Regions from separate parts of the Mus musculus genome. Here regions 1, 2, 3, 5, 6 and 7 are each reported to be linked to region 4. The links are microRNA targets in miRTarBase. Many come from high-throughput screens and were not tested one by one. Region 4 holds a microRNA gene; each other region holds the end of a gene's coding sequence. Distances are from middle to middle.
What was found. The annotated mature microRNA mmu-miR-181a-5p reads AACAUUCAACGCUGUCGGUGAGU and lies in region 4 at 2,046-2,068, opposite strand. An mRNA with a match to its seed (bases 2 to 7 or 8) in the 3' UTR can be bound and repressed. Matches are read on the target gene's strand: a 7mer-m8 pairs with bases 2 to 8, a 7mer-A1 pairs with bases 2 to 7 and ends in A, and an 8mer does both.

Region 1 (4,238 bases), not on the chromosome of region 4:
CTCATATCCCTGACTCTATTTAAAAGTAGGAAACAAAGCCAGTGGACTTTTCAAAGGATACCTCTAGAACCTAGTGTTCTGGCTACTAGTCCTGTGTCTGTGTCTCACTTAGTGACGTCCATTAGGACCTAGATTTAAAGTCCTGACATGTTAGATTACTGAGGTAGTCAAGCTTTGGGGTTGGAAGGAGAAGGTGGCTCCGGGTAAAGGTGCTTGCCATCAAGCCTGGCAGCCTGAGATTGACCACTGTATCCATGTGGAGGAAGAAGAGAACCAGACCCTGCAAGTAGCCCTCTGACTATACAACGTAATTGTGTAAAGGCTGAAAAAGAGTTCAAGCCTGAGAAAATGACTCAGTGCTTGCCAGTACAGCGTGAGCACCTGAATTCATAGCCCACGGTTTTAAAGACGCTCCATGTAGTGTTGGGTGCCTGCAGTGCTTACACTGTTGGGTTACAGGAAACAGTGGCACAGGCAGATCCTCAACTCCATGAACTTCAGGTTTTCTCAAAAACAAAGGTGAAGATGGATAGAAGAAAGGCACTTGCCGTCCACCTCTGGCCTCCATGTGCACACACACACACACTCACATCCCAAAACGATGATAAAGGTTGGGGCCTACCACGATGGCTCCGTGAGTAAAGGCACTTGCCACCAAGCCCAACAAGCCAAGTTTGATCCCAGAACCTGCGTGGTGGAAGAAAAGAACTCACTCCCCAAGAATTGAGCTGAGACACTTACATGAGTACATGTGTGCATGGACATACATACTAAGTAGATAAGTGTAAGAAGAGAAAGCAGCTGCAATTGTAACTTTCAGAGCGTGAGACGTATTGGTGTAGGGGTGTGGATCTTTGGTCAGTTGGGTTCCTGGACAGGGTTTTGGTGTTGGGGGTGTGGATCTTTGGTCAGTTGGGTTCCTGGACAGGGTTTTGTCAGTGCAGTTGGCATGGAGTTGACTGTTGACCCCTGACTTACCTGATTTCTGCTTGCATGATTTTCATAATTACAAAAATTCACAATCCTTTGTCCCATCGCCCCATAGTGATGTTTCTTCCTATTGTTAAAGATGACTAAGGCTTTTAAAGGAACGATGGTCTTCATTTGCTTAGTTTGTACATGACTGTTGACTAAAAGAACTTTTATCCCAACAGGGAAAATCATGAATCGGAAAAGCCAGCACTGAACAACATAGCAGACAACACAGTAGCAATGGAGGTGACGTAGCTTCCTGGGAGCAGGACTGCATCCTGGGGACATGGTCAGGTGCTATGCATCAGAGCGTTGGAACGCAGGGAGTATGGAGAGCACTTGTGCGGTTCCGTGGCAGCTGTGGGGACTCGGCAGCACTGCGCAGCTCTCGAATCTCTCGTGCTTCAACCTTTCTTTTCTTATTGTTAATAGGAAAAAATCAACATCTGTAAATTAAGAATACAGCAATTATCTGTACAGTACTGCATATTTGTAATACCCTTGTATATATGTTACTTGAATACAGAACTGTTCATTTGTGATGCTTTGCACTTGGGGGCGGGGGGTGGGGGGTAACTGCAACAAGAGTGTGAGCTGTGAGATTGTGTAGCTGGTGTCATCACATCATGTGCATGGTGCGGAACCTGCTGTCTCTATTTATTGTGCCGTGTTTACAGGTTTTGTACACTGTACCCTCATTGGTTCCTGTGCTGTAGTAAATGTGTTAGGTAGCTGTGGACTCCTTGGTATTTTGTAAATGGTATAACATAACTTGGTTCCCTCTGGGTCCTTGAGTTTTCTGTGTATCATGTGAAAAAAAAATGGTGACATACATACAGAATTTTACAAAAAAAAAAAGGCATCAGTTTTTTAAAACGGGGAATGTACTGTTCAATGGGGATCTTCCTGGTCTACTAGCATTAGGACGCGCAACAAGCTAAAAATGAAGTCTCTTGAATTCTCCCGTCCCCGCCTGTCTGCAAGCTTGGGCGGCCCTGGTACTTAAAGCACTAATGTTATGTTGCTGCCCTACAAACAGCCCAGTCGTCCCATTTCCTTCCACACCAAAAAGTGTTAAATCAAGTACACAAACGGAGTCCTTACAACTGGAGTTTATGTTGTCTTGCCCTTTTTTTTTTTTAGCACAAAAAGATGTACTTTTATATTGTGGAATTGTTTAAAGACTTCATTCTTTACTTGTTCTTACAGAAAGGATATAGGGGAGAAGAATGCGGTAATTGCTGTCCGTGTATCGTCATTCCAGTTTGTAAAACAGCCAGCCAGCTTTTTTCCTTTTAAGATTCTCCAGAAGGCTGCGAGGCCAGAACCACAAATATCGGGTGCCTTCCTTTGGAAACATTTGACCTCTCTTCTGTGAAGAGAATGGTACTTACCAGACTACTACTGCTTTGTTAGTACCGAAGTCTGAATGCCCAGTCCAATGGCATACGTTATCCTTAAGGTTTTTAATCCCACCTGGAAACATTGTGATAGAATTCTCACAAAATAAACCCAGGGCATTACATGTTGACAAACTAACGTGCAGTGGTCTTTGCCTTTTGTTTTCAACCCCAGAACTTGTGTGACTTTGTTTCAGTATAGGGGCTTGGCTAGAAACAGCAAGGAAGAACTTCAAGTTCATGTTCTCAGTGATTATTTTGACATGTCTGTCTACAACAGTGAAGGAAAGCCCTGTACTGACTTATATTCTCATGGAGGTGAGAGTAAATAAGATGGAAAGCAAAAAGGCAGGGTCGCTGAAGAAGCGCAGCGAGCCAAGGATGCTCCCAGTCGGTCTGGGTCAGAGACCTGAGCAACAGAGGCTGTTGGGCAGAGGAGCATTGAGGACTCTGGGGACTCTGCCTTCCATACAGAACCGAGCGTGGAAAGGAAGAGTCCCACTCTGCCTCAGTATCCAGACTAGTCTTTAGCAGTTGACGGCCACAGTTACCCCAGGGACTTTGTGAAGTACTTGGCTCTGTCTCTGTGCTTAGAGGGCCATTAAAAGTTGCTTACTGGCCAGGCCTGGGGCGATAATCTCAACAAAGACAGGTGGGTCTCTGAGTTCGAGGCCAGCCCAGGATATGTACAGAAACCCTGTTTCTAAAACAGAAAAAAGTTAAAATAAAAAATAAAGAAAGAAAATAGTTAATCTGTTTAGTAGGGCACATGAGAAGAAAGGGTTAAGAAAGGCTTCAGAGGGGCAATGAGGGCCAGAGTTGATTCCCAGAACTCAGTAAAAGCCAATAGTGACCGATGCTTGTCATCCCAGGACTGAAGAAAGGAGGTGGAGGGTGGTACAGCCTCTGGGCTCACTGGTCAGCCAGACCAGCCTGCTCAGACCAAAGACTGCAAGCAATGAGAGACTGAGAAGCCAAGGTGGGCGGGCCTCTTCTAAGGGACACCAGGAGGGTGCCCTCCACATGGACAGACAGACAGAACTTAGTTCAAAGTGTTTTAACTGAGCAGGTTGACCCGGCCAGGGTGGAGCTGGAGACTTGAGGTTACAGAAAGCAAGGGACAGGAGAGTAAGCAGCAGTGGTGGCAAGGCAGGTTGGAGTTCATTTTATCTCGTCTCAAAGTAGACAACTAATGTGATGAACTAATTCCCACTCACATTTTAAGGAGGAAACGAGATTTGTCTTTCCTTTCCAGTGTCTAGTCAGTGCAACTAAACACTTAAACTGCTGTCATAAATGACAATTCAGGATCCGAGTTTCTGAAGTGCACCCTGCAGTGAGAATGAGGCCAAGGTCCTCAGAAGTTTGCCTGCTCTATCTGCAGGCAAATTCGTAAATGCTCTTGGAGAGGTTGATATGCAGCTGTGCTGGCTGGCAGGTCCTGGTCCATGCAGCAGCTTTTCTGTTACACCACAACGGGACTCAGGAAACATTCAAAGGAATACACATTTTTTAAAAAGAGGTACCTGTATTTGGGGGACTCCTAAACTATGTTTCCCATACTTTTGCTGCCATGTTGCAGTACTGAAATCAAGGACATGATATAAACAGCAGCTTAAACAAGAAGGCCTCAGGAAAGTGAAGAAAGGCCACAGTTGCTGACAGTCCCAGGCTTAAAGTCACACCTGCTGGACTCCAAAGATGGTTGTGTTTGTCTACAACTATTTTATGGGTAGACCAATGCACACAGTTTCCTTGGTAACTATAATAATGGTTACCAAGGTAAGTTCAGAGGTCACTATTGCTCTAAACTTTGGTCCAATTCATGAACAAGACCTCCAGGCACTGGACAGACACTGGCTTTTT
Region 2 (4,238 bases), 40 Mb from region 4:
GAAGAAATGTCAGCCTGACAGACATGTGCCTGTACAGTAAAGTAGAGCTGTAACTACACTGAGATTAGCTCTCTGACTAGGCCTGACTCTGATGTTGGTTCTGAGTTGAGAGGGAGGGCTTCTGGCCTTCCAGCCTTCCATCTTGGCATAGGAATGAGATGGAAGGCATAAGAGGATATGGTTCCTAGAGAGGGAATTACATCCAGTTTTAAGCAAGTTTCATTTAAATTTCCTTTCAAATATAAGCAGAGACAGTTCTAATTGGCAGTTGTATTTCTATATCTGGAGCTAAGGGGAAAGACCTGGCAACAAGGATGAATGAGATTAATAGAATGGATTGTACTTATGATGGAAATGAATATTTGCTATGAAGAATATAGAGTGAACTATAAAAAGCTGGTTTTAGGAACACAGCCTGTTTGTCGTTACTTTTCTGTATTTGTGTTGACTTGTAAAACATTAGTGTCATATTGAAAGCCTGCAATGTTTTATCATAACTGTAGCGCATACAGCCACATCGCCCACCAGCGTTCTCTTAACCCTGTTGATTGGTGCAAATCCCAACGGCACTGGTTCTTTCTTCTGTTTGTATAGCAGCCGGCGGACCATCTCAGGCAATGGCTCCCCATACCTCATCTCGGAAGAAGAGCATAAATAGCAAAACCGAGGGGCATGAACCCAAGAAAAGCACTGGGAAGAAAAGATGAGCACACACCAGAACCGAAAGTTTCCATGCTTATAAAGGGACTTGTTGCTTAGCAAAAAGAATGTCTAAGAAACCTTGACTGAAGCTGGTCAGAGCCAGTGATTCATGTGTTATCATGCTTTACTTTATACATCTGTGTATTTCTTTAAACACCTCGAAAGCTAGAGGACCTCCTGTTTTTATTCAAACAAGGAGCTCTGGCAGGATCTAGAAATGTTCAAAAGAATGTCTGTCCGCTTTGTGTAAGGAAATTCATGACAACTGCTATTGCTGTCACTGTGATGATTCCCATGTGCCTGTGGCAGAGACAAAGGACACAGGAACCCGGCTGACTGGTACCAAAGTGCACTCTCTTCAGGTGCCTCTACACACATGCATTTCTACAGAATTACACTTAGCGAGTGGGATTGGACAGGCAAAGATCATGTGTTGATGACTTTTTTTAAAAAGTACATTTCCAAAGAGATCTCGTTGACCATTTACATTACAATGTTTTTGTCATTGCTACAGTAACATATGCTGCAATATTTATTGACTGGATTATATAGACCATGAATTATTTTTTCAATTTGTGCTTTGAATTTTTTATTGTGAATTATTTAAAATATTACAAATGCAGGTGGGAGAACTATACCTTTATACACATAAATTTACAAGTTAATCTGTAGAAAATATTTTCTTTATACATATCTTTACCATCAAGAAAAATTTCTTGGTTCACCAAGAAAAGGTTTTTTTTTTTTTTTGTATTAGCAAGAGAGGCAATTTTTTAGAGTTTCTTTTTATGAACTGTAACTGCTAAATTTGTAAATCTTACACGTGATTTTCTGAGTTTTTCTTGAGACCTATGGACTCAGGTCTATGATGCGAGTTCTGCTGTTCATAAGTGTCATCCAGGGTATAGTTCTTGTGTTTCCATTCTTATGTCCAGTGTATTTGATGATTTCACCAAGAAAACTCAAAAGATTGAACATTTGTAGTAAGTAAATGGTGTTTACAAATGATGAGATTTGGAAGAAAGATGGAGATGACTATTGTAATTTCGTCTAATATTTAAATAAAAGGACATCATTCTCCTTGGTGCTCTTTCTCCCTGATGCACAAGTAATTGTTTGAAATATTTTAAATTACTCACAAACTAAACAACCTGCTAAATAAAAATCTCAAACATTGGCTATAATGCAACTTAAGGTAGTAAGCTGTAGCTTCAAGCTTATGTTTAGAAGTACTGGACCCTTATTGTATAGTTAGTGTAATTCTTCAAAAGAGACTTCTAACCTTAAATAATCTTACATGAACTGACTTCTAGAGAATAGGCGTATTATATTATCTTGGTTGTTTAAAAAGGGATGAGATACAGAAGCTCCAAATATATACAAATAAATAAGTACATATATACTTCACTTGAATGTAAATGGATTATATGGTGGTAAATCTTGTAAACAATCGAATGTATGTATGTTCTCTGTGTGTGAATATGTGATTAATGTACTCATGGGGGGTGAGGAGACTACTTTTATTTTTTAAGTGGAATGAATTAAAATTCTTTTTAGAATAAGAGTGACTTGAATTTAAAGCATTTTATTTGTGTTCTTTCTTTTATGTTTTGAAATAGAAAATCCCCAGCAGCATTTTACATTAAGTACTATTCAATAAAACTCATGAGTGAGCATACACATAGCAGTGTATTGTCCTCTGCCTTATGAAGTATGTTAGCACTCGCTTTCCTCAGTATTAATCAGTAATTTCGGCTTTACCTTATTCACCCCAATCAATACTGTTGCTTTGTATGCTCATCTCTTTGCAAGAATCATAGAATTGTTTTTTAAAACACACTATCAGAGAGTCAATTTCATAACAGCAAAATAACATCACCACCATTTATGGAAGTTTGTCTGAAATAGCTGTTTCTACCAGTACTCAGGAGATGTGGGGTTTGAGAGTTTTTTAAGTGCTAAAACATGTTTATTTTTTATTTGTTTATTTATTTTGGGGTTGGGTTTGTTTGGTTTTATTTTTTGCTGCCCACTTTTCCAGCCAGCAAAGAAATGAGGAAGTCAAGCTTGAGGAATTGTCAAGTCACCCTGAGCTGTTTGTTAGTCTTGATAATTTATCATTCATTCCTTAACCCTCAGGAATCCTATATCTCAGGCCTAATAGCCTGTTGGCAGGCCCTGCTGGCCTGCTTTTAATGAGGTACATAGTCCATTCTGTATGACTAATAAACTCAAGAGGGAATTTGTTAATACACAGCTATCATGTATTAAAAAGAAGTATACTGGACATTTTAAGACAAACAGAAAATTGAGACAGAAAGGAAACTGTGATGTGGCAGAGCACGTGGCCCTGTGCTCGATATTTGTACAGCTCAAAAAACACGATAGGTGACAGCAATGAAGAAAGTTTAAAGTTTCAAGAGGAATCTGATGTAAAACTCAGGACTGTTGGGAGCCCTTAACTGGAGGCCGGACTTGTACAGAGGGAGAAGGAGAGGGGAGCGTAAATAGCAGTAAGGATGTTTGAAAAGGCCATAGGAAGCCATTATTTTCTGTTTAAGTATAAATATGTATAAAAAACTTAAATTGAATTATGCCTTATGCCACCTGGGGTAATAATACTTCCTCCAAAAGCCATAGCCTGTCTAACTACAACAACAACAAAACAAACAAACAAACAAACAGTTCCAGGAATGGAAAGCTTATTCTCAAGTTGTTGGTCCGAGTAGACCAAGAGATTGCCAAAGCATTACTATTGCCCTAGGTTGCCTCCCAGAACCTGAAGGATCTATTGCTGAAGATAGCACACATGTTGGACATAGGACTTGAGGGAATCACCCTGGGGACTAGAGATAACAGTATCCAAAGGTTCTACAAAAGCTGCCAAGGTAGGTAAGATGTTAGTCCTCACCAGCTATAAACTCATGAATCACAACAGTGACTACCCCAGCAAGTACAACAGTAGTACTTCTATCTTGGGAGAAACCAATAGCTGTGTAGTTGGACTTGAGGCTCCACTCACTGAAGGGAAGTCCTGCCTAGTACTAGGAACCAAGTTACCTACCTGTGACTGCAGATGTCATGGGCCCCTTTATAAATACAGTCTAAATATTTATCATTTTCCCAACAGATAAGTACAGCTCTCTTACCTCATCAGCAGATTCTTATTGTAGTATATGGAGATTGTTACGGAAATCTACATCGGGTCCTAATGCAGAGAACAACTGACTGTGGAGTGCCAGATGCCAATTAATAAGCATTAAGTTAACAATGCAACCCCCTACACGCCTGAGGTTGAGGGGACATTGCAGAAGAGAGGGCAGAAAGACTGGAAGAGCAGGAAGCCTGACCAGGGAACATGAAGATTCAGCAATACTGTGGCCTAAACAAGACTTGAATAATGACTACATCCGTTGACATGGTGACATGCGTGGGGAAAGTTTCACAAGGCCTCACCTCTCGAAGGGCTACAGGCAATCATTGGGTACATAGAGAATACATGTTCTCCAGAATAAATGGATGAGCCTCCTGATCCA
Region 3 (4,238 bases), not on the chromosome of region 4:
TGTCATGGCCACCAGGGCATGGCCTCGCTACACTCAGGGGCCAGATCTTAGAACATGCAGGCCAGCCTCTTGGCCTACAGCAGAGACGAGGCATCTGCAGAGACACATGCCTGGGCAGTGGGAGCTGCCTGGGAACAGTCAAGCAATGGTATACCACATCTGAGCTGTAGGGTCATCCAACACTGACATTCTGGGACATTCCATCATCTCTTTTTCCCTCCCTACTCTAAAGTTTCCAAGCAAACAATAGGACTCCTGGAAGCCACAGATCCTGAGCAGAGAGTCAGACCCCAGGCTGGCCTTCCCTGGGCCTTCCCAGGCCCAGAGTACAGCTGCTGGCCACCTCAGGTGCTTGGAGGCTCAAGGGAGGGGGAGATGGCCAGCCAACTCAGAGGAGGGGCACCAAGCACATGGCCACCAAGTGGAGCAGAGAGGAGGGCCTCCACAGAGGTAGAAGAAACATCAGAATCTCAACAAACAGAAAATTCACATCAGTGCACATGTGCAGAGCACTCAGAGCTCTGGCTGGGATGATGGAGTGGACACAGTCAGGCGCAGCCATCAGCACACTCAGCTTCCGCCAGCCCAGGGACACAGGTATGTCTCCAGGGCCTCAGGCCCTGCCAAGCTACATACTGCCTGGTGAGGCTCCATCCTGATGCAGCTGGAGCCTACCCCACCATCCATTCCTGGAATCTCTACCAAGTGTTGGCAGCAACAGAAGGCAACGAATACTTGAGAGCCCAGCAAACTTCCCTTTATCCATGGGTTGTTCAGCAGGGAGAGATCCCCTTGGAAAGGTGCCAAGAGGCTGGAAGGGCCACGGCTTCTCCCAGGCTCCTAGGCTGGAGGAATCTACTATGAGCTCATCCCAGGTCAGTATCAAGGAGACATGGGTGGCTACAGGATCCCCAAGCTCAGCCCTGGCCCAAGTGATCCCAGTGCCCTGCCACACCTTCCAACCCCAGACTGCAGGCCCCAAAGGCACAGGATCAGAGAAGTCTTGGCAGCTGGTGGTGTCCAGTAGACCTGGCTCCCACTTAGGCCTACCCAGGCCTCAGACCCACCAGCAGTCTCTGACCCCACAGGCCTCAGACACCAGCAGTCCCTATACCCCCACAACAACTAAGACTAGCCCCGAGCCGAGACCAATCCAAACAGAAAAGAGAAAAAAGGCACAACTGTTTGTTTTCCATTTTGCTAAAACACTTTACATCTGTCTGTATAATCCAGATTAACAAAATCTGAGAGCTGCAAGAAAATAGGGTGCCAATTTCTGTACAGTCTACAAAACTCCCATCCCCAAGCGGGGACCGGGCACCACCAGGGAGGAATGTACAGGGGAGAGCGGGGTCTGTACAGTGTTCTGCAAATGCCTCAATTGCTAACAGGACAAAAGGCCCCTCAGGAAGCTGGGCTTGTTCCACCAACTCATTAACTCTAAAGAGCCTTTCTAATAATGTAGCCTTGGTGCCAGGGGCCCAGCTCTATGGTCTACCTAGCCTGCCACTCCTCACCCCAAGCCCCACACAGAGGAATGTGGACGGGCCTTTATGCACCCCCTGCACTAAAGCTAAGTCCAAGTTTCAGCTGGCCTCATGACCACTGCCAGCTACTGCCTTTCCCTGTCCTAGGCCATACCCACCCCCATCTAGGCTGGATCTGAAGTAGAACCTCAAAAAGGAGAGGCCAGGAACAGTTGACCTAGCAGAGTAGTCTGTAGTGGGTGATACCTGGACCCACCCCAACCACCAGCTTCTTCCCCCGAGGCAGTGCCCAGCCCTTCCTATGAGGCTTTAGGACCCTCCAGTCCCCTCAATCCTGCATACAAGGAATCAAGGGGCAACCTGAGCCTCACAGACTGTGTTGTGAGGGCACTTTAGGGGTGTTTACACTAAATTAGAGTCTCCTTCCATACTTCAAACTGAAATCTTCCACCTACCCGGCCACCCACCCCCATCAAATGGGGCCAGAGACCATGCGTATGCTAGCACCACACAGATGTGTGTCTGGAGGCTCAAACTACCATTTTGTCCCAGTAATTAAAGTCATGCAGAGTGCTATTCTGTCTACGTAACTTATTAGAGAATGGGTTGTTTCAGGCTGGGAGAAGCTGTGGCAGGCATTGCCAACAACAGCCTGGGCTAGTTACATTCACAGGGCAGACCCCACAAACAGCATGAGGCCACAGGACCTCAGGCAGCTGGGAGGTGGCCACCTGGTCTAACAGGTGTTGGGGGAGGTGTCCCCCCCACCCCCATGAAATCCCCACCATGCTGTGCAGTGGATTGCTACAGGAACCAAACCCGGGTGACCAGCCAAGTCAGCCAGAGCAAGGAGGCACGGGGACCAAAAAGGGAAAGAGGTAAGATGATTTCGAAGCAAAGCAGGAGTGGATAGAGCCAGGTTAGGCCAGGCCAGGCCTCACCAGAGAGTAGACAGGGTCAGGCAGGTAGGCCCTCCAGAGGCCAGCTCAGGACAGGACAAGGGAGCTCACCAGCTCAGGCCTGAGGTCCAGGCTGGGCAGGATAGTGGGGCAGGGGGCTGTGGCATGCGGCATGCTGCAGCCAGGCCATGTCCTTAGCATGCACAGGGCAAAGCAGGGCCTGGGACCAGCTCAGCCTCCCATGGGGCAGTGGCTGGCCAGCCCAGCAGACCACTCTTCCAGAGGCCAATAGTTGAGCCTTAGCCTGGCTGGGGGCCAGGGTTCTGCTCCTTGGGGGGGGGGGGGTTGTTGTAGAGGTTCTGTGCTTGATGGGCAAGGCTAGTCCTTCCCTGATGGAGGCAGGCTGGGCAGCTTTGTGGATAGTTCAGATGGTCCACAATGCTGCTCTTCAAGGCATGATGAGCCACTCTGATGGGCTGGGGAGGCAAGGGCCATGGCTGCAGACAATCCACCCCACCAGAGTGTTGCAGATGAGCACTCTGGACTGGGACCCTGTGGCCCCAGAACCAGCCAGGTGATGAACCAGCATGATGCTGAAAAAGGAAAACCCAAACAAATGCCAAGGTGAGCATTGGAAAGCAGGGCCGCACTAGGCAGTGAGCAAGAGGGCAGAGGTGGACGGGGGCAGACAGGGTGGTGGGCAGGTGGTGGTGGTCACTCCTCGCGCAGCTGCAGGCGGTAGCGGTGGTAGCGGACCTGGAAGAAGAGGCGCTCGGCCAGCGAGAGGGTCATGCCAGGCAGCACGTAGTGATCACTCGCGCCCATGTGTCTGAAGCCCAGTGACTCATAGAGCTTGTGGGCGGCCACCTTAACGGCTGTGGTGCCCAGTACCACTGCAGAGTAGTTGTGCAGCATGGCAAACTCCAACACCCTCCTGCCCAGAGCCTTGGCGATGCCTTTTCCGCGGAAACGCGAGTCCACGGACATGCGGAGCAGCTCCACTGTGTTGTCCTCCTCATGGGCCCGTGCGGCCACGATGCCCACAACGTTGCCGTCCAGCACAGCCACCCAGAAACAGGAACCTAGGAAGGACATGACAATCAGGGATATTCTGCATGGAAGACTGAAGAGACTTTCGAGCTGCCCATTCCAGCTGAGTGCCAAGTCAGGGTATCACAATGATGCTCAATCCTCACCTTTCAGCTCTTTTGGACACCAGGGGAGGCCACGAGACACTCCATAAGCCTCAGTCCGGGCAAACCTGCCCAACTTTGCATGACAGGATCCCACCTCACAAGCAGACACAATCAGCTCCAGCCCAAGTCTCTATTGTCCTGGCCAGAATAGTAGTTGGAGGTGCCTAGGAGCTGCACAGCCCTTGACAAAGCAAATTCCTACCCCCAGACCACAGGAAAACCCACAGACAACCACAGCTAGGGCCACAGGGCAGAGCATGTCTTGCTGACATACTCTGAATCCCAGCCCTTGGTCTGCCATACTCCTCCCCCAGTATCTTTGCAGGGATATAACTGAATGAGAACCCAGAAGAATGTTTTCTGACCCAGCGAGGGACCACAGACAGCCACACACACCCCAAACCCAGTAACCCTGACACCAGGCTAGCCAGCCCTTACAAGAAGGGAGGGGGCGAGAACAAGGAGTTTGGATGGGAGGAATTCTGACGGGCATGGGACACAGGGAATCCAGTCACCTTCCTGAACTAGAGGTACATGGTCAAGGGGACACCCTGAGACCTTTCTGAAAGATGAAGGCTAAAGGATGGTAGGGGGGAGAGAGCGTCTGGCCAAGCCAAGAGAGTGACTTGCTGTGGGAGATCTGGCCTCCCTTGGCC
Region 4 (4,238 bases):
AGATATGTATATCAAAGAGGTATTTGTACTCTCTTCATTTCAACATTATTGATAATAGCCAAGCTTTGGTAACAAAGTGTCCTTCAATCAATGAATGAGTAGAGAAAATATTCTGACATTATGGATGTTTTCATAGGTATACACACACACACACACACATATATATATACACATATATGTATACACACACATATACCTATATATCTACATATCTCCATTACCTTAGCATATATACGAATACACACACACACACATACACACACAAATACACATATGAAATGAAATACTATCCAGGCTTAGAAAAGTTTATCAACAAATATATACCTGGATGAATTTATAATCAATGAAATAGAGGCCAGTGCCGCAGGATCCACTTAAATATGGAACTTAAAGGGAATGATTTTATGGAAGAAGAGTAGGAAGTTTGCTACCAGGGGTGGAATAATACTGGTGATTTGGTTTCACCAAGACCAGCTTCCATTAAAAAAAAATCTGCACAATTGGGAGAGAGCAATGTTTCAAGATGTCAAATTGTGGGCTGAAGAGAAGTAATGAGAGAACACACAAATAGAGACTCTTCTGCAGGTTACTAATTAAGTGACGTTTCCAAACTCATAGCTTTTTAAGATAGAAAAAAGAAGGGGGCTGTTCAGTGAATGAAGCAGGAATAGAAACTTTTTTTTGAACTTCTTGTTTTTTGTTGAGATTAGAGCCTTGTCATACGTTAAATGGAACGAAACAGACGGTGGGAGAAAGGAGTTATGATAGATAGAGATGCCCCAAGCAAGGCAGGCACTTGTGAACTAACTACGTAAAATACTGTGGGAATGAATATTCTGAACACTAGAGCAAGGTCCCAGGAATGGATTTCTGTAGTGGGAGTTGAATGTATATCATAATAAACTGATCAAGAGAGAGAAAGGACAATATGTTTGATAGATTTTTTCCCAACGAATTAAAATCTATTAGGTACCATGTACTAGGTACCATGTACACACTGTATGCTGAACATCCTGTTATAAATATTAACTCCAACCACTGTACTTACTATTGGAGGTGATGAACCTTAATGACAGATGTTCTTTTTGAAATTATAGAGCCAAACTAGTTAGGAAACACACACACACACACACACACACACACACACACACACACACACACACACTTGCTTGAAGACAGTCCCTGGAATCAAGTCTACCATTTCAGAAGAAAGTAGAGGGTAAATAAAGATGATGAACTATAATCTTAAATCTGAGGTCTCTCTGGGGAAACAAATCTATTGCATGATTATAATGAGCCCCTGGATAACAAAGTACTTGGCTATTGAGGTACTATCCCTCTGCCTACCAATTCCATAGAGAGTAGAGCCATTTCAGCGATTCTTTATGCAGAGCAAAAGAATTCCCTCTTGCTTCAAGCCCATTTTGACCAAGAAATCTAATGAAAGATGAGGGGATGGTTATTTTCTGTGTAACAATGTGACGGATAACGGGGCAGGAAGTAAGATATTTCTTTGGTTCTTCCTCCCACCAGCACAGCAGAGCAGGAAGCCGTGCCAACCCAGGGCTACACAGTTGATTCTGGGCATCCAACACTTTAGCATTTTTAAGAAATGCCCCATTTGTAACCCCCAGGAGTATAGAAAAGCAGTATTCTTATATAAATTAGTGACTTCCTCACAGAAATAGGACTTGATATGAATTGAATAAACAAACCTGAAAGTTCAGACAGCAGAAGTTAAACCGAGAAACGGCGTTAATACCCCCAGGACCTCTATTAGGGAGGGAACGTCTGTTGATTGCGACAGCAAAAAGCGGGGCCACAGTTGCATTCATTGTTCAGTGAGCTTTTCTACACAGTTCAACCCACCGACAGCAATGAATGTTGATTGTGACCTTTGTAAACATAGTCTCTGAAGAGGCGGGGAGAATCCTGTCGGGTCCTGCTTTGCGGTTCTGTCTTCAGCAAACGCAGAGGGCCATGGAGTAGATGATGGTTAGCTATAGGGTACAATCAACGGTCGATGGTTTTTATTTGAATTCCAAACTCACCGACAGCGTTGAATGTTCACTGAAGCAACCTGTGAGGCAGAGATGTGCTGATTTAAACAGTATCTGTGGGAGTCTGGAGCAGGAGGGAGGCAGAGGAAAGCCCAATCCTTTAACCAAACCTGTCACACATTTTAAACCATTTCAAAAGAGTACAGAAGAAAAGAAGCAGGATTCCTCCAGCCCAGAGCTTGGCAAACCTCCACTTTGTGCTGTGTCAAAGAAAAGAATCGGATTTTTTTTTTTCAAAAGGGAAGAAAAGTCCTTTTGGGGGGAGCTTAGTTACAGGCTGTTAAAGACAGGGAGAATTTATCATTCAACAAAATTGGAACTATCAAAAAGCAAAACAAATAGTATCTAAGTATCTCATAATTTAAATATTGGTATGTATATAATAAGAACTGCAAGGACGCATGTAGGTCATGCAGAATCAAGCAGAAACCACTTAGGTTTTCTCAAGTTACATTGCTAACAATTTTGAACTTCTATGTTTACAATGTGCATGGAATAAGCATTTATTTTACAATAGGCATTTTAATTAGTATAATTTCTTTTAAACATACTTATTTTTAAAACAATCAAGGAATCAAACCAATTTAGCACATCTTTCTTTGCTTATGACACAAGACTTTAAACTACAATGAAAATTAATACAACCTATGCCTACTGCCTGAAATTCAACTCCTCTCACTTTGGTTATTATATCCTAATATTGTTATTTGTTTTGATTGAGTGGATCTGGCAGTAACTTCTATCCATTTCCTAGGTGTTCTTGAAATGAAGTGCATTTACAAGTTAGTATGAACTCTATTGAGCATGTCTTCAAAACTGATTTCAAATATCAACTTAAACAAAAATCCCTTTGTACTCCTCAAAACTAGGGTAGAAAGTTACTACATTATACTTATGTAGACTCTTAAGTGGCTTTAATAAGTATATATATATATATATATATATATATATATATATATATATATATATGTGTGTGTGTGTGTGTGTGTGTGTGTGTGTGTGTGTGTGTGTGTGTGTAACTATTAATAAAATATTGGTGAACCATTCAGTCCAAATTTTTATACATATTCATTTTATTTACTTAGAATATTGTATGCTAAACCTGTAATCATTTATTATCTTGTACACGAAGAGATTACAGGACAAGTGTCTCTGGCTGGTATTTTGAGGTAGATAAGGTAACGATCTGCTGATGGCATGCATTCAGACTTCAGATAGTTACAAGACATAAAACTGATGAATCTGAATAGTCCTGTGTGGCTTCCTTTGAGATAGCTTTCCTGCAGAGGGCTGTCTCTTGTGGAAGGAAAGCAAGTCTTCCTGGGACCATCTGTGTTATCAGTTTCACCAGAATGCATGTTGCTCATGTTCCCTTGCTTGACCACTGCACTATCATATTCAGGCCAGCATCCCATTGCTTCTATACATACCTGTCATTGCTTTTGATATCATTTTTTCAAGGCTGCTGAGCTGAGACTCTAAGCCATGATCATTGCCTTATCTCAATATACAAAATTGGAACTACGATCAAGCAATTTCCATCCGAATCACAATTAATAGCAAAGCACCGCAATGTGAGGGGTTTCCAGAACCTTCTAAAATTCTCTGTAGAAAATATAAGTCCAAATTTCTCAAATTCTTAGAATAAAATTACGGAGAATACTATCATGAAGTTCTTAGGAGATTGAAAGTGATTGGTGTTTAGTAAGAAATTAGATTAAACATCACATCACTGACATATTTTAACTCCTATTTATCCAATGAAACATGTACTTTTCTCATGGCTATAGTTTTTGATGAGAAAAACCTCTCAATAACTTAAACTCACTCTCCATGAGGAAAAGCACCTCTGCTCTTGCTGCACCTGCCTCACAGTAAGAGAATAACTTCAGGACGGTATTCTACAGGGGAAAGATGTCTACTTGCTGATTTAGCTTACCTTTCCTCGGCTTTCTACAATGCTGGTTCCAATCACTATTTTACTAGCTAACCTTGTCTGCACTGTTATTTTCCAAATTTGATAATTGGCTGGAATATTAATGTTGGACAGTATTGAAATTTTACATTTTCTGTCAGGTGTCGAGTCTTATTTGACTATTTTTAGAAAATGTTAAGATTCCAGGATTCTAAATTGGTGTTAACCATCTGCTTCCTTGCAGTTTTTCCTGAATCAAGAGC
Region 5 (4,238 bases), 73 Mb from region 4:
TAGGTAGCTACACTGATGTGCAAACAGACACACACAGAGAGACACAGACACGCATGTAACTTAGTTAAAATAAATCTTTAGAGAAAATTGACACTGAAGGACACTTGTTTTCTTTAACTTCCCATTGAGTAAACAGCCTAAGTATGAGTAGAAGCAATCCAGATGGGGTAGCCCCTCCCTAAAGTACCTACCAGTGTCCCTGTGGTGCCAGGACTTGTTTGAGGACCTGGGAGCCAGTGTCCTAGCTAGATCAACTGTTACTCAGAATCCACTCTCAAGGAGAAATTATAAAGTCAGCCCCAAAACCATAAACACATGACAACAAAAATGGACTCATCAGGTTATGCTTGCATGTTTGTGCCTACATATACATACGTATGTAACAATAATAAATGGGGAAGAAGACTATGGATTAGAGAGTGGAGGGGCATGGAAAGAGCTGGGACTTGAGAATGAAGAGAGGGAAGGACCAGAGGAAAGTAATGTAATTATATTTCAATTAAAATGTACAAAAGTTTAAAATTTTAAACAAAACAAACAAAAAATGAACTCTTACTTAAATGTAAATTAATACCATTTCCCCACCAGTACACCTCAGAGATCTGTTACAGTCGGTTTACTACACGTTTCTTAGATTTCCAGCAAAGATACATTTGCAACATCAGCACAGTGGTTTTGAAACCTACTCTTCGGGCATTTATTAACAAACTTTAAGTGGAATGGTTTCAGTAACATTGGCATTAGCCTGACCTAAAGCTCCTGGTAGTTCAGAGCCGTACAGCAGGGTCTCCTGTGAATGTGTGCACATGAGACCCCACTGCAGGCTACCCTGAGCACAGGCAGCACCAGGAACCTCAGTCATGGCCCACAGATTTGTAGCTTTTTAACATTAATGAGTTCTCTTCTAGAAGTGTGAGTAGCATTACTGTGATTTGTTTTTAATTACCTCCTGCCTTGTCAGAGAAAAAACTAAATTTCTTTCTTTTTTCTCCCACCAGTGTACAACGTTCTGACTACTTGAATACATTTGAGTTTATGGACAAACTTGGAGAAAACTTGAAGGCCAAATTAGCTCAGGCCAAACTTTAAGGTCAAACCTGGGCTTAGAATGAGTCTTTGCGGTAACTAGGTCCACAGGTTTACGTATTTTTTTTTTTTTTTTAGTAACACTCAAGATTAAAAACAAAAATCATTTTGTAATTTGTTTAGAAGACAAAGTTGAACTTTTATATATGTTTACAGTCTTTTTTCTTTTTCATACAGTTATTGCCACCTTAATGAATGTGGTGGGGAAATTTTTTTAATTGTATTTTATTGTGTAGTAGCAGTGTAGGAATTATGTTAGTACCTGTTCACAATTAACTGTCATGTTTTCTCATGCTCTAATGTAAATGACCAAAATCAGAAGTGCTCCAAGGGTGAACAATAGCTACAGTATGGTTCCCCATAAGGGGAAAAGAGAAACTCACTTCCCCTGTTGTCCATGAGTGTGAACACTGGGGCCTTTGTACGCAAATGTTGTACTGTGTGTGGGAGAGCTATACAGTAAGCTCACATAAGACTGGAACAGATAGGATGTGTGTAGCTAAAATGCATGGCAGACGTGTTTATAAAGAGCATGTATGTGTCCAATATACTAGTTATATTTTAAGACCACTGGAGAATTCCAAGTCTAGAATAAATGCAGACTGGAGGATTCTGCTCTTTGATTTCTCTTCTCCTGTGACCCAGCCTAAGTATTATCCTACCCCAAGCAGTACATTTCACCCATGGGCAATAATGGGAGCTGTACCGTTTGGATTTCTGCTGACCTGCTGCATTTCTTTTATATAAATGTGACTTTTTTTTCCCAGAAGTTGATATTAAACACTATTCCAGTCTAGTCCTTCTAAACTGTTAATTTTAATTAAAATGAAGTACTAATGACTCTTCTTTGAAGTGTTTATTATGTGTTTTTATTTAAAAAGTGTTTTTCATTTCTTTTCCTATTACTGTAATAAGATACCTAGATAGAAGCATTTTAAAGGAGAAAGGGTTAGTTTTGGCAACAGTTCAAGGTACACTCCCAGTGTAGCTGGGAGGTCAGGGTAGCAGGAGCTTGAAGCAGCTGGTCCTGAAGTAGAGAACAAGGAATGCATGCTAGTGCTCAGCCTAGAAACCAAGATGGCGCTTCCCCTAGCCCTTAACAGAAATCAGAGAATCCCTAGTGTATATACTTAGAGGCCATATCCCAGGTGATTCTGGGCTCTGTCAAGTTGAAAAGTAACACAGACACAGACACTAGATTATATCCTAGCCATGGGAATTTGATTTGAAAATATTTTTTCTCTTAAGAAGTCTACTGTGAGACAGCTGTGGTGCGTATCTGTGATCTCAGCACTTGGGAGGCAGAGGCAGGCAGATCTCTGAGTTCCAAGCCAGCCTGGTCTACAGAGGGAGTTCCAGGATGCCCAAGGCTACACAGAAAAACCCTGTCTCCAAAAACACCAAAACAAACAAAAACGTTTGCTGAGGAGTGAGGTACATGAATTAACAGACAGTGAGGGGAATCTGCTCTGGAAGCACAGAGTAGTGCTGCAAGATCCTGCTTCCAGTGTAAGGAAAAAGGACAGACCTAAGGGCCTAATAAACTATCAGCAGACACTGCATAAACTAAAGAATGTAGGCATTGCCCTGTAAGTTAATAAGGAGACAGTGAAGATTTCTAAGAAGGGAAAGACATGATATGTTTTCAGTCTTAAAAACAGCACTCTTGGGGCTGGAGAGATGGCTCAGTGGTTAAGAGCACTAACTGCTCTTCCAAAGGTCCTGAGTTCAAATCCCAGCAACCACATGGTGGCTCACAACCATCTGTAACAAGATCTGACACCCTCTTCTGGAGTGTCTGAAGACAGTTACAGTGTACTTACATATAATAAATAAATAAATCTTAAAAAAAAAAACAGCACTCTTATAAATGATGTTTGGTGAAGGGGGGAAAGGATAGCAGACACTGGTGAGGGAGGAAGACTGCTTAGGAGGCAACTGTTAACACATTAATTGAAAAACGTTGAAGATCCAACTGGCAGGTGCACTCAAGAAAATGGGATAGAATTCTGAGATCCTAGAAGGGGTGGATGGGGCTGGAGACACAGTTCAGTTAGTAAAGTGTTTGCAAGAAGACATGAAGTCAATCCCCAAATACACAGAAAGAAAGAAGAAAGAAAGAAAGAAAAAGAAAGAAAGAAAGAAAGAAAGAAAGAAAGAAAGAAAGAAAGAAAGAAAGAGAGAGGAAGAAAGAGAGAGGAAGAAAGAGAAGAAAGAAAGAGAAAAAAAGAAAGGAAGAAAAGGAAGGAAGGAAGGAAGGAAGGAAGGAAGGAAGGGGAAAGGAAAGGAAAAAGAAAGAAAGAGGGGGAGGGAGGAGAGAGAGATGGATGCTGCATAAGGAATACCAATCATCCAAGGCTGACCTCTGGCTTACCCATGCACACGTGTATATGCCCATACATGTATGCATAAACACAAGTTGAGTAGGTTTCTCTATAAGCAAGAGATGTGGGTGGTGAGGGAGCAGTAGGAAGCCTTCCTGGCTTCTTTCTCAAAACTAAGAGAAGGCTCTTCTCATCCCAGCACCTTCAGTGGAGGAGGCTCTGCGAATTTGGACTCTCCTACCTCAAAAGTCCATTAGAACCAGTGACACGGTTCACCCAATAAAAGCACCTGCCACCAAGCTTGACAACTTCAGATTGCCTTCTGGTACCTAAATGTTGGAAGGAGAGATGCTGACAGTTGTCCCCTGACTCTAACACATGCATGACCCTCCACCACTAACCCTCCAAATAAAAGGGGGGAATTTAAAAATGTAGAACAAAAAAGTCAATGCGTGGAGTGGCTGTCTCTCATTTTCTGGCCTGCCCTCCTGGCAAGCTTGAGCTCAGGCTGTAGACACTGCCTATACGTGAGGCCTTCCAGAATCCAAGCAGGCAGTGATGCAGTATGCACATCTGAACTAGTTTCTCCGTGCTACCCACATGGTAACTCCAATCTAAACCTACAGTCACGGACCAGCTCTCTTGCCAAGAAAACCTCACAAAGCAGAGGAGGCCCATGCGGCATGGGCACTTCATCCCAGACAGCACAAGTTACAGACAACCATCTGACCGATTCTCAAGTGGGAGAAGGTTCTAGTGTCCATCAGTTTCCCCAGATGACCCTAGGGCAATGGGGGGAAAAGCATATTGTTTCTAGCTGAAACTATT
Region 6 (4,238 bases), not on the chromosome of region 4:
GCAAGGGGAACGCCTTGCCCATCTGTGAACAGAACCTGGAGTTTCATGCTCTGATCTCTGAGCATCTCAAAGAACTGCAGGATTTTGATTCCAGGCCAAACTTTTAATAAAGAAAATTCATCCACAGACGATAGGTTATTGACTGATATATCCAGTTATTGGAATACGGGAGATTTAGTGGCAAGGAGCTGTTTTATTTGCTCTTCGGATGAAGCCATTTTTTCTTAGGTATTTAATCTCCTAGCAGTATATTTTCCTTAGCAAATACCCTGTCTGGGACAGCAGATCCATGTGGGCTCGTCATGTCCTTATTTTGTCTTCTGGTGACTCACAAATGGGCATTTGCTTGCTTCTGATTTTTAAAAACGGTGTCATTAAGGAGAGATTACACAGAAATCAGCCCACAGTTACTATCGGTGATCACCGCTCCAGCTGATGGTGTGCATACAAGACTCCATCAAATCAGGGATCGGAGAGAGGCCTCGAAGCTTGAGTGATCGCTTCATTGAAACTTGGGCTTTTAGATGAACAAGCACCCTATGTGTCTCATGGGGTGGGGTTCTGCATGCTGTCTCACCCCAAGATAATTTGTAAACGTATAATTCATGAAAGTATGAAAATGCCTCCCACCTCTGAAAGTTTTAACTGGAAGCTCCTCCACTCTGTGGCCTCAGCCATGACTTCTCAGGGAGCCTTGCAGCTGACTGTAATGAGGATTAGCTTTCCCCAGACCGCCCCCTCTTTTCTCCTTCCTCTGATCACCCCAGTGAATGAATCCTGGGAACCTCTAGGCAGAAGAAAAAGCAAGAAAAGATTTCTTCTTTCGTCTTTTTTTTTCTTTTGTTTTTCTCTCTCTCCCTCCTCCTCCCCCTCCCCCTCTCCCTCTCCTTCCCCCTTTCTTTTTTTCTTTTTGGTTTGCATTTGGAGACTCACCTATTTTGGATACTTGAACTACTTCTCTCAGATCCCAGAATATGTTGGATGAGATTGGTCACAAGGATGCAGAGCCTGTGGGAGGAAGATTCTCTAGCAGGTGTATGTGTGGGGGGAGGCCTCTAAGATGTTTGTGCAGTGGTGGGAGGGATCTGCGGCCAGAAGAGAGGTGGTCAGGGGCATGCTAGAGCTCTGTGCCTGGTGATCCCAGTGAGAGAGGGCCAAAGCAGGCCCTGTCTCTTACAGAAAGCTGTCCAACCTGCAGGTTGAGTTTGGTTACATTCAGCGGAGAACAGCTATGAATGTGGCCAAAACAAACATCAGGAATTTACTTCAAATATTAAGAGATATTTTTGCAATTTCTTTTTTGTATCTTGAACCTTGTAGTTAACATTGTGTCAAAATGTCAAAAGGTTGGACACACCAGATGGGCCCTCGGTATCAGCAGCCCACTGGGGAAGGGCACTGGGATCCAGGTTGTGGCCCCCTGAGTTGCAGCGGCTGGGAACTCCACATCAGGCCTGACTGATCTGTGCTCAGAACCCTCCCAGACCCCTTCCCACCACTGTCCTGTGGCTCTAACTATTGTCAAGGACTAGATAATAAGAGAGCCTCCTATGCCCAAGCTGGACACAGTCCCCAAATGCCCACAGCTACTTTGTTCCTAGTTGCTCACCATGGAAGTGACGCCAAGTTCTGTGTGAGCACCAGGACTACTGTCTGTCCTTAGACATCCTCAGACTCTCAGTTCTACAGTACAACCACACATCATGGGTATCAGCTTGTCCTGAGCACCATCAATGTCTTGCTTGGAGACCAACCAGCTGCTGTCCCAGGTCATGGATGGGAATGTGGGAGACTAGTTTACTCACTGATTGGGGAAACACATAACCTGACCCATGTCACCAGTGTCCACCCTGAGTAGGGTGACAGATGCCCAACTGTGGAGGTGAGGTGAGAGGAGATAGTTCATACCAAACCCACACGTAGAACATAGACAGCAACCACCCATCAAATCTGATGCCAGTCACATCACACATGAGCCCCTCTCATGCCATCACCTCTCTGGTTGGCATTAAGTTCCAGGACATTCTAGGAAGGCTCTCAACCTGAGGCTGTGACTTGTTCTACAAGAACCTCTGCTCTACTTGGGTGTTCTAGGATGTTATCTGCATGTTGAGTCCTTTGGAATTGCTAGGGTCTACATATCTTGGGGTCCCTGGGCACCTCCTCCCTAGGTCTGTGGCAGCCCTTGGCGAAAGGCTGGGTTGGAAGTGGGGTGGGTTCACCATCATGGTCTTATCAGCATCAGTGAGGTCTCGGCTGACATATACCAATGGCGCCAGAGCTGTCTGACATGGGTGGGTACCTGCTCCAGGGAAGAAGAGTCAGAGAAGGGGGTGAAGGAATTAAGGGTGGGGTCTCTGGGGCAGCCCTAGGTCGGGGGAATGCCAAGCACTTTTTGGCTTTGGGAAGTAGGAGGTCATAATCCACTGTCCTCTTTCCCTTCTGAGTTCTCATGACTTAGAGGGTAGCTACGACATCCAGGGTTGCCCATCACATATGTCCCTCTTGCCACAGACAATAAGCAAATCGAGGTTATCTCCTAATATCTTTATTGTTCCTTAGATAACTGAACAGTACAAAGTTGCCCTCTTTGACTTATTTATTTCTTTAAAAAATGATCTTTCCACACATGGCTGCCCTTGGGGAGTTCCTTCCTGTAGGAAACGGAAGTTTCCCACGATGCGTCCTTCCCATCCATGGTTACACAATTCAGATACCTTGACAAGATAAGAGTTCCACTGGGTTATTATCAACATGAACTTGACTATGTCTCCTATAAGGGCGAACACTGATTTTTTTTTTCTTTTTAGAAACAGAAACCATCCACTTATCAATCCAAACTACAGCATTGCATGACAACATTCATTGCATAAATTGAACACACGGAGTTACCACCTTGGGGGATAACAGACGGACACCTCACGATCTAGCTACAGGGTACGCAAGTTCAACAACGTGGGTACAGCAACTTCACCTACGCACACCCACCATCGCTTCGGGAAAGTACTAGACACAGGTCCATGAGCTACCGGGAGTCTCAGCACAGTTAATCTAAGAGACAACAACACGGTCAAGAAAAAGGCAGCTGCGATATGTGTGGGCTGAAGCAGCCTACACTGAGCGAGTGCCTCGGGGGCTGGGGGAGCTGGTTGGGGAGAATGGCCATCACATCATCTCGCTGGGCACAACCTAAGGAAATGTCCATGCAATCCTAACAGTGGGTTGTTCTTGGGTGAGAGGGGCCAACAGTCATCGCCTTGCTTCTTTGAGTTATTGGACCAGAGAGGGATGGGGTGGGATGGGGACAGCCAAGGAGCCTTGGGCTGCAGTTCCATCCACATACATGGCGGTTTCTTCTGAAATCTGCGGCCCACCTGCAGGAGTAGGAGGAACACAGAGAGGACACCATCTCTCGGCGTCAAAATTGCGCTGATTTCTCAAAATCAGGACTGTTAGTATTCTTGGAATCATTTGGCAGCTGTTTCATGGAAATGTCCTCGGGGTGAGGACTTGGACCCTTGGCTTCTGGAAAAGTGGGAGCTACAACTCATCGGAGCGGATGACATGGAAGAGGGTGACATTATAGAGGGTCTGATGGCCATTGTTCCAGGCGTACAGCGCGCGGTCTTTAGGGTTGTAGTCCAGCATGGAGATGTGAGAGTATTTGTTCTGGAAGGGGATGTCAATGTACTCGTAGGTCGAGGCGTTGGTTTGGTAGGCATAGTGGACCTTGGTGCCCCCCGAGTAACCGTTGGTGACATAGAGGGTGCCGCAGATGATGAAGGCCTCACCGGCACTGCGCTTGGGGTAGCTGGTGTTCCAGGTCTGGAGGATCTGCAGTGAGACAGGATCCAGCTTGCTGATGACAATGTTGCCTGCGTTCTGGTTTGTGGCATAGACAGCCCAGAGCCCATTCTCGTCCACCATGAGGTCGATGTCTGAGTGGCCGCCCCAGGCATAGTGATACATATTGTTGTAGCCAGCATAGTCCAGGCTGCGCGTCTTCAGAATCGTCTCTGTCTTCAGGTCAAACCTAATGATAATGTGACTCTGGAATTTGTTGAAATAGATGGAGCCATTGTAGACCACCTGGCCCGTACCTGACCAGGGGTGTGGGAGACGGTGAGAGGTAAAGTTGTCCGTGTTCATGAAGTCCACCATGGACTTGTACTCACGGACGAAGCGGTTGTTGTGATAACCATCCATGTACCAGACCTGTGGGGAGAGCAGACATGGTT
Region 7 (4,238 bases), 20 Mb from region 4:
AAGCCCATTGAAAAATTGTATCACCAACTCTGACTTGTTAGAGGCAGCTGATCAGCAGGCTTGAACCTGAGCACTGTCATACTGTTAGTGGCTGGGGTGAAGTGTCTTGAATACTATGTGTTGGTATATGTTGAAGTCCCTTCTCAGGGAATCCTGGCAGAATGGATAGGACTTCATGGGGAAGGAGATCTTGTGAGTTGGGTCTTCAAATCCTACCCGGCCTTCAAGACGGTTGAGCTGACTTAATTTTGACTTCTTACCTGTCTGTCTTATTAATTCTAGGTGGCCAGGTGAACTCTCAGTAGTGTATTATTAGATAGGTAATCATGTGGCCTATGTTTGAAAAGATACCTGTGATTGTTGTGACAGGTTTTCTGTTCTATACAGTAGCTATTGAGCTGTAAAAATGACATTTGCTTAATTTACTATAACTTTATTTCATAATAGCCAGCTAAAGTCATTAGAGATTTTAGAAGATGCTCATTATGTCCATCACGTGTAGCAGACATTGCCTCAGTTCTGGTGGCGTTTGTTTCAGAGAACCTTCTGTTTTAATGTGCTTACATGTAAGCATCTTGAATACAGAACATCAGTTCAGTGTAGCTGTTTCAATTTGAGCTTCTAGCTGTGATTAGTGGGAAGGTGTGGAGGGAGAACCCACATAGTGATGTATCCGATTTCTTTCTCCCTGTGCAGTCGAGGCTGTCTGTCAACAGTGTCACTGCTGGAGACTACTCTCGGCCCCTTCACATTTCTACTTTCATCAATGAGCTGGATTCTGGTTTTCGTCTTCTCAATCTGAAAAATGACTCCCTGAGGAAGCGCTACGACGGCTTGAAGTACGATGTGAAGAAAGTAGAGGAGGTGGTCTATGACCTTTCCATCCGAGGCTTCAATAAGGAGACAGCAGCGGCTTGTGGTGAAAAATAGGAGCTTTTCCCTGGGGCTGGCCTTGCTGGCGCCGCAGTTGCCAGGGAGGGCTAGCTCAGTGCCTCTTCCTGTAGTTAGCACACCAGTTGCTAAACACTGCGCTTTATTTTCGTAACCAGCTGTGTGCTGTGAGTGTCAGAATTGAAATACTTTTTGGATCTAAACAAAAAAAAAAAAAAGAAAAAGAAACCTTTCCACGGATGGGGTTTTTTTGTTGATTTTCAGTGCACTTGCCGTGCCGTGTTGTCGTCGTATTACCATTTTGTCAACAGTGTGAATGTTGGTCCCTTGGTAAAAGTCCTTTCTTGCTTACCTGACTGTTGATGTACTGACTGACAGGTTTGTTGTCTTGTTTGTAATTTCTCCCACAAGTAAACAATGATGTTTTCTAGGTCCAGATTAGTCCTCCATTTCCAGCTATAGCCTGGATGCAGTGTGAGAATAAAATGGTTGACAAGCAAGGGAACTTTATTTTGCCCATCTTAAGTCTTGTAAGTGAGTTGAATTTTTTGCCTAGGAAATTTGAGGCCCCGACTCTGTCCCTGCTACTAAAACAGAGCAGATGAAACTGTACAGTTCAACCCAGCAAGGTCAAGGTAGAAAGAGCCTCTGGAAAAGCGTTGTGATGTCTTGTGTTGGGTTAGAGCATCTGTTTTCTGACATCACCTTACACCCCGGCTGCCGTAGCAGTTAGTCTTTACACCTGCCTAGAGCTAACACCTGTGTGCTGTATTTGTAAACATGGAGACCTTTTCTCAGCAGCCAGCTAGAACTGGTCTGGGAGTAGAAAGCCATCCTCATGTATTCACTCCTTATCTGTACTGAGGAGTGGCTTCTTAGAGACATCAGTGCTGTTTGGAGTAGAAGAAAGTAAAATTTGGCTTTAAAAAATTCATGTGATTGGCAGTATTTTTTGGAATAAGAAATTGAAGGTTGTGATTCTGTCAGTACATTTAAAATGTATAGTTTAGGGTAGTCATGTAAACTTTGGGCTCCTCTATGCCCTCTCCTTTTCAGATCGCATAAGAATTCATATGTGGCCATTCTTGGGGTAGAACTGAAATTATTAAAGTCAAGGCTGGTGATGTAGCTTTTAGTGATAGACTTGCTTGGCAATGTGAGGCAATGGTCCATCCTAGGACTTCAAAAAACTGAAAGAAAAAAAGAAAAAAAAAACCCAACAAAAATAGTGTAGGTTTTTTTTTTTTTTGCACCCTCTGACAGGAAGCTGCTGCCATTACTAGTGTAATAGGAAGTACTCAGGGGTGTCACCCTTTCTTTCTTGGTAGCATTTTGGGCTTCATGTTTGTGCAGTGGGATCTTTGACACTGGCTTTTATCAGGCCATGGTTAGAGACTAACTGGAAAGTGGGGCCTGAAAGTGCAGGCTTGTGCTCCCAGGTACACAGGAGGCTGAGGCAGGAGATTGGCAAATTCAAGGCTTCAGGGGTAGCCTGTCTAACTGAGTGAGATCCTGTGACAAAAAAAAAAAAAAAAAAAAAAAAAAAAGACCACCCACCCCCACACACACACACAAGCAAAAAACAAAAAACACCAACCAAAAAGGCTGGGGGTATGTTTCAGTGACTTTCCCTCGCATGTTTGAGGCCTTGGGTTCAACCCTTCGTTGTGCAGCGAGCGGGGTGGCAGGAGGCTGACTCTAATTTCCCATCCTGAGGAATGAGCTGTGATTGCTGTATATTGTTGGACATGTAGACTAGCTTTCTTCATGGTTCTTTTTGCAGGGTTAGAGTAAGGTATTAGGCAATTTTTGTTAGTTTACCATTTGAGACAGGGTTTTGCTGGTAGTCCAGGCTGGCCTGGAACTCGCACCTCTGTTTCCGTTTCCTGAGTACAGGATTAGACTCTTGAAAGTGTCTGGGAAGGTAGAAGGCTTTTCAGTTGCATGGTAGTTTCACAGGCTCTTGCCTGTTCTTGTGGGTTCTGCTAGACATCATTAAAGCTCTTGTCAAAAGTTTCATATTTTCCTCTTTAGAGACAGAGGTTGTAATGTCCTGCCTGTAGTGTTGTCTAGGCTGGTCTCAACCTCCTGGGCTGAAGCTCTCCTCTTGCCTCAGCCTGTGAGCAGCTGGGACTCTAGGTCATTGCCACCATACATAACTCTTGAAATTCAGTTTCAGATGCAATGAACAAATTGCACTTAAAAGTGAAGGAGTATGTTCTAGTGTTGTGATTCTACTTGAGAGTTTAGAAGTGTCATGTTGATAATTAGTTGTGTTCGTTACTGGCTTGTAAAGCAATAAAACTGTTTTTGGTCTCTTTGTAAAGTAGTGTGCTGCTGTTTGAACTCTTCTTCTCTATGGAGAATCAAATTGTTCATGTTCTGCTGGCCAGTAGTGGCCCACACCTTTAATTCCAGCACTTGGTAGAGGCAGGTGGATTTCTGAGTTCGAGGTCAGCCTGGTCTACAGAGTAAGTTCCAGGACAGCCAGGGCTACACAGAGAAACCCTGTCTCAAAAAAAAAAATTTCATGTTCCTTGCTGGCTGAAGAAGCCTGGAGTGGTAAGCCTGAGCTGTTGTGTAAGGGTGACACCAACCAAGACACTAGTCACTCCCAGGGCTTTGATGTAAATGCAGATACTGTCTGCATGATCGACCTCCATGAAGAAATTAAAGGTGTTTGAATTGAAGATGTTGAGAAATATTGCCTCTGGTTTTAGTATACCTTTTGTTTTGCTGACCCATGGATTAAGCTCAGATCATCACATATGCTAAACATGCATTCTACCACTGAGGTACACAGCTCCCAGAATTAGTCATTTATTTTTTGAGACAGGGTCTCCTGTAGCCCAGGCTGGCCTTCAATTTGCTGTGTAGTTGAGGGTGATTTTGGACTTCTGATCCTCCTCCCTCTACCACGAGTGCCCAGGTTGTGTGTTCCATGATACCTGGTTTATGCCATGCCAGGGATCAAGTCCAGGGCAAACGTTTTAGCAATTGATGTATAGCCCCAGCCTCAACACTGTTTTCCAATTTTAGAAAATTAGGTAGGGCAGCTGGAGAGATGGCTCAGCAGTTAAGAGCATGTATAGCTTTCAGAGGCTCTGAGTTGGGTTCCCAGCACCCATGTCAGTCTGGTGGCTCAACTGCCTTTAAATTGATTTTATTCATGCAGTGCTTACTACAGTGGCCGTGACAGTTAATCTTGGTTGTCAATTTGACTGGACACGTCTAAAAGATCAGTTAAAAGACATGTCTCTAGTTGGGTCCTCCAGAGTATTTCTGGAAGGGCTGACTAAGGTGGAAGACCCTTAGGCATCTCTGGCAGCAACTGCTAGCTTCAGTCC

Region 1: miRTarBase lists Epc1 as a target of mmu-miR-181a-5p. Seed matches in the 3' UTR shown: 7mer-A1 at 1,853-1,859.
Region 2: the mRNA of Ppip5k2 is a reported target of mmu-miR-181a-5p. Seed matches in the 3' UTR shown: 8mer at 2,112-2,119 and 7mer-A1 at 2,155-2,161.
Region 3: miRTarBase lists Nat8l as a target of mmu-miR-181a-5p. Seed matches in the 3' UTR shown: 8mer at 2,150-2,157.
Region 5: miRTarBase lists Idh1 as a target of mmu-miR-181a-5p. Seed matches in the 3' UTR shown: 7mer-m8 at 1,279-1,285.
Region 6: the mRNA of Olfm1 is a reported target of mmu-miR-181a-5p. Seed matches in the 3' UTR shown: 7mer-m8 at 2,859-2,865.
Region 7: the mRNA of Tsn is a reported target of mmu-miR-181a-5p. Seed matches in the 3' UTR shown: 7mer-m8 at 1,205-1,211.

What each region holds. Positions count from the first base shown.
Region 1 is chr18:6,434,224-6,438,461 of GRCm38, reverse strand. It overlaps Epc1 (enhancer of polycomb homolog 1), which reads left to right. Exons shown (of 14, transcript NM_027497.3): 14 at 1,155-2,511. The coding sequence ends at 1,227. Among named protein-coding and RNA genes, the nearest start is that of Mir1893, 54 kb to the left of the region's middle.
Region 2 is chr1:97,704,187-97,708,424 of GRCm38, reverse strand. It overlaps Ppip5k2 (diphosphoinositol pentakisphosphate kinase 2), which reads left to right. Exons shown (of 28, transcript NM_173760.5): 28 at 595-2,382. The coding sequence ends at 707. Among named protein-coding and RNA genes, the nearest start is that of Macir, 44 kb to the right of the region's middle.
Region 3 is chr5:34,000,010-34,004,247 of GRCm38, reverse strand. It overlaps Nat8l (N-acetyltransferase 8-like), which reads right to left. Exons shown (of 3, transcript NM_001001985.3): 3 at 1-3,468. The coding sequence ends at 3,101. Among named protein-coding and RNA genes, the nearest start is that of Nat8l, 6.1 kb to the right of the region's middle.
Region 4 is chr1:137,964,298-137,968,535 of GRCm38, reverse strand. Mir181a-1 (microRNA 181a-1) reads right to left here and starts at 2,081; the gene lies at 1,995-2,081. It overlaps Mir181b-1 (microRNA 181b-1), which reads right to left and starts at 1,897; the gene lies at 1,818-1,897.
Region 5 is chr1:65,156,316-65,160,553 of GRCm38, reverse strand. It overlaps Idh1 (isocitrate dehydrogenase 1 (NADP+), soluble), which reads left to right. Exons shown (of 9, transcript NM_010497.3): 9 at 999-1,938. The coding sequence ends at 1,089. Among named protein-coding and RNA genes, the nearest start is that of Idh1, 21 kb to the left of the region's middle.
Region 6 is chr2:28,229,031-28,233,268 of GRCm38, reverse strand. Olfm1 (olfactomedin 1) reads right to left here. Exons shown (of 6, transcript NM_019498.2): 6 at 2,533-4,215. The coding sequence ends at 3,541. Among named protein-coding and RNA genes, the nearest start is that of Olfm1, 25 kb to the right of the region's middle.
Region 7 is chr1:118,297,496-118,301,733 of GRCm38, reverse strand. Tsn (translin) reads left to right here. Exons shown (of 6, transcript NM_011650.4): 6 at 697-3,220. The coding sequence ends at 930. Among named protein-coding and RNA genes, the nearest start is that of Tsn, 12 kb to the left of the region's middle.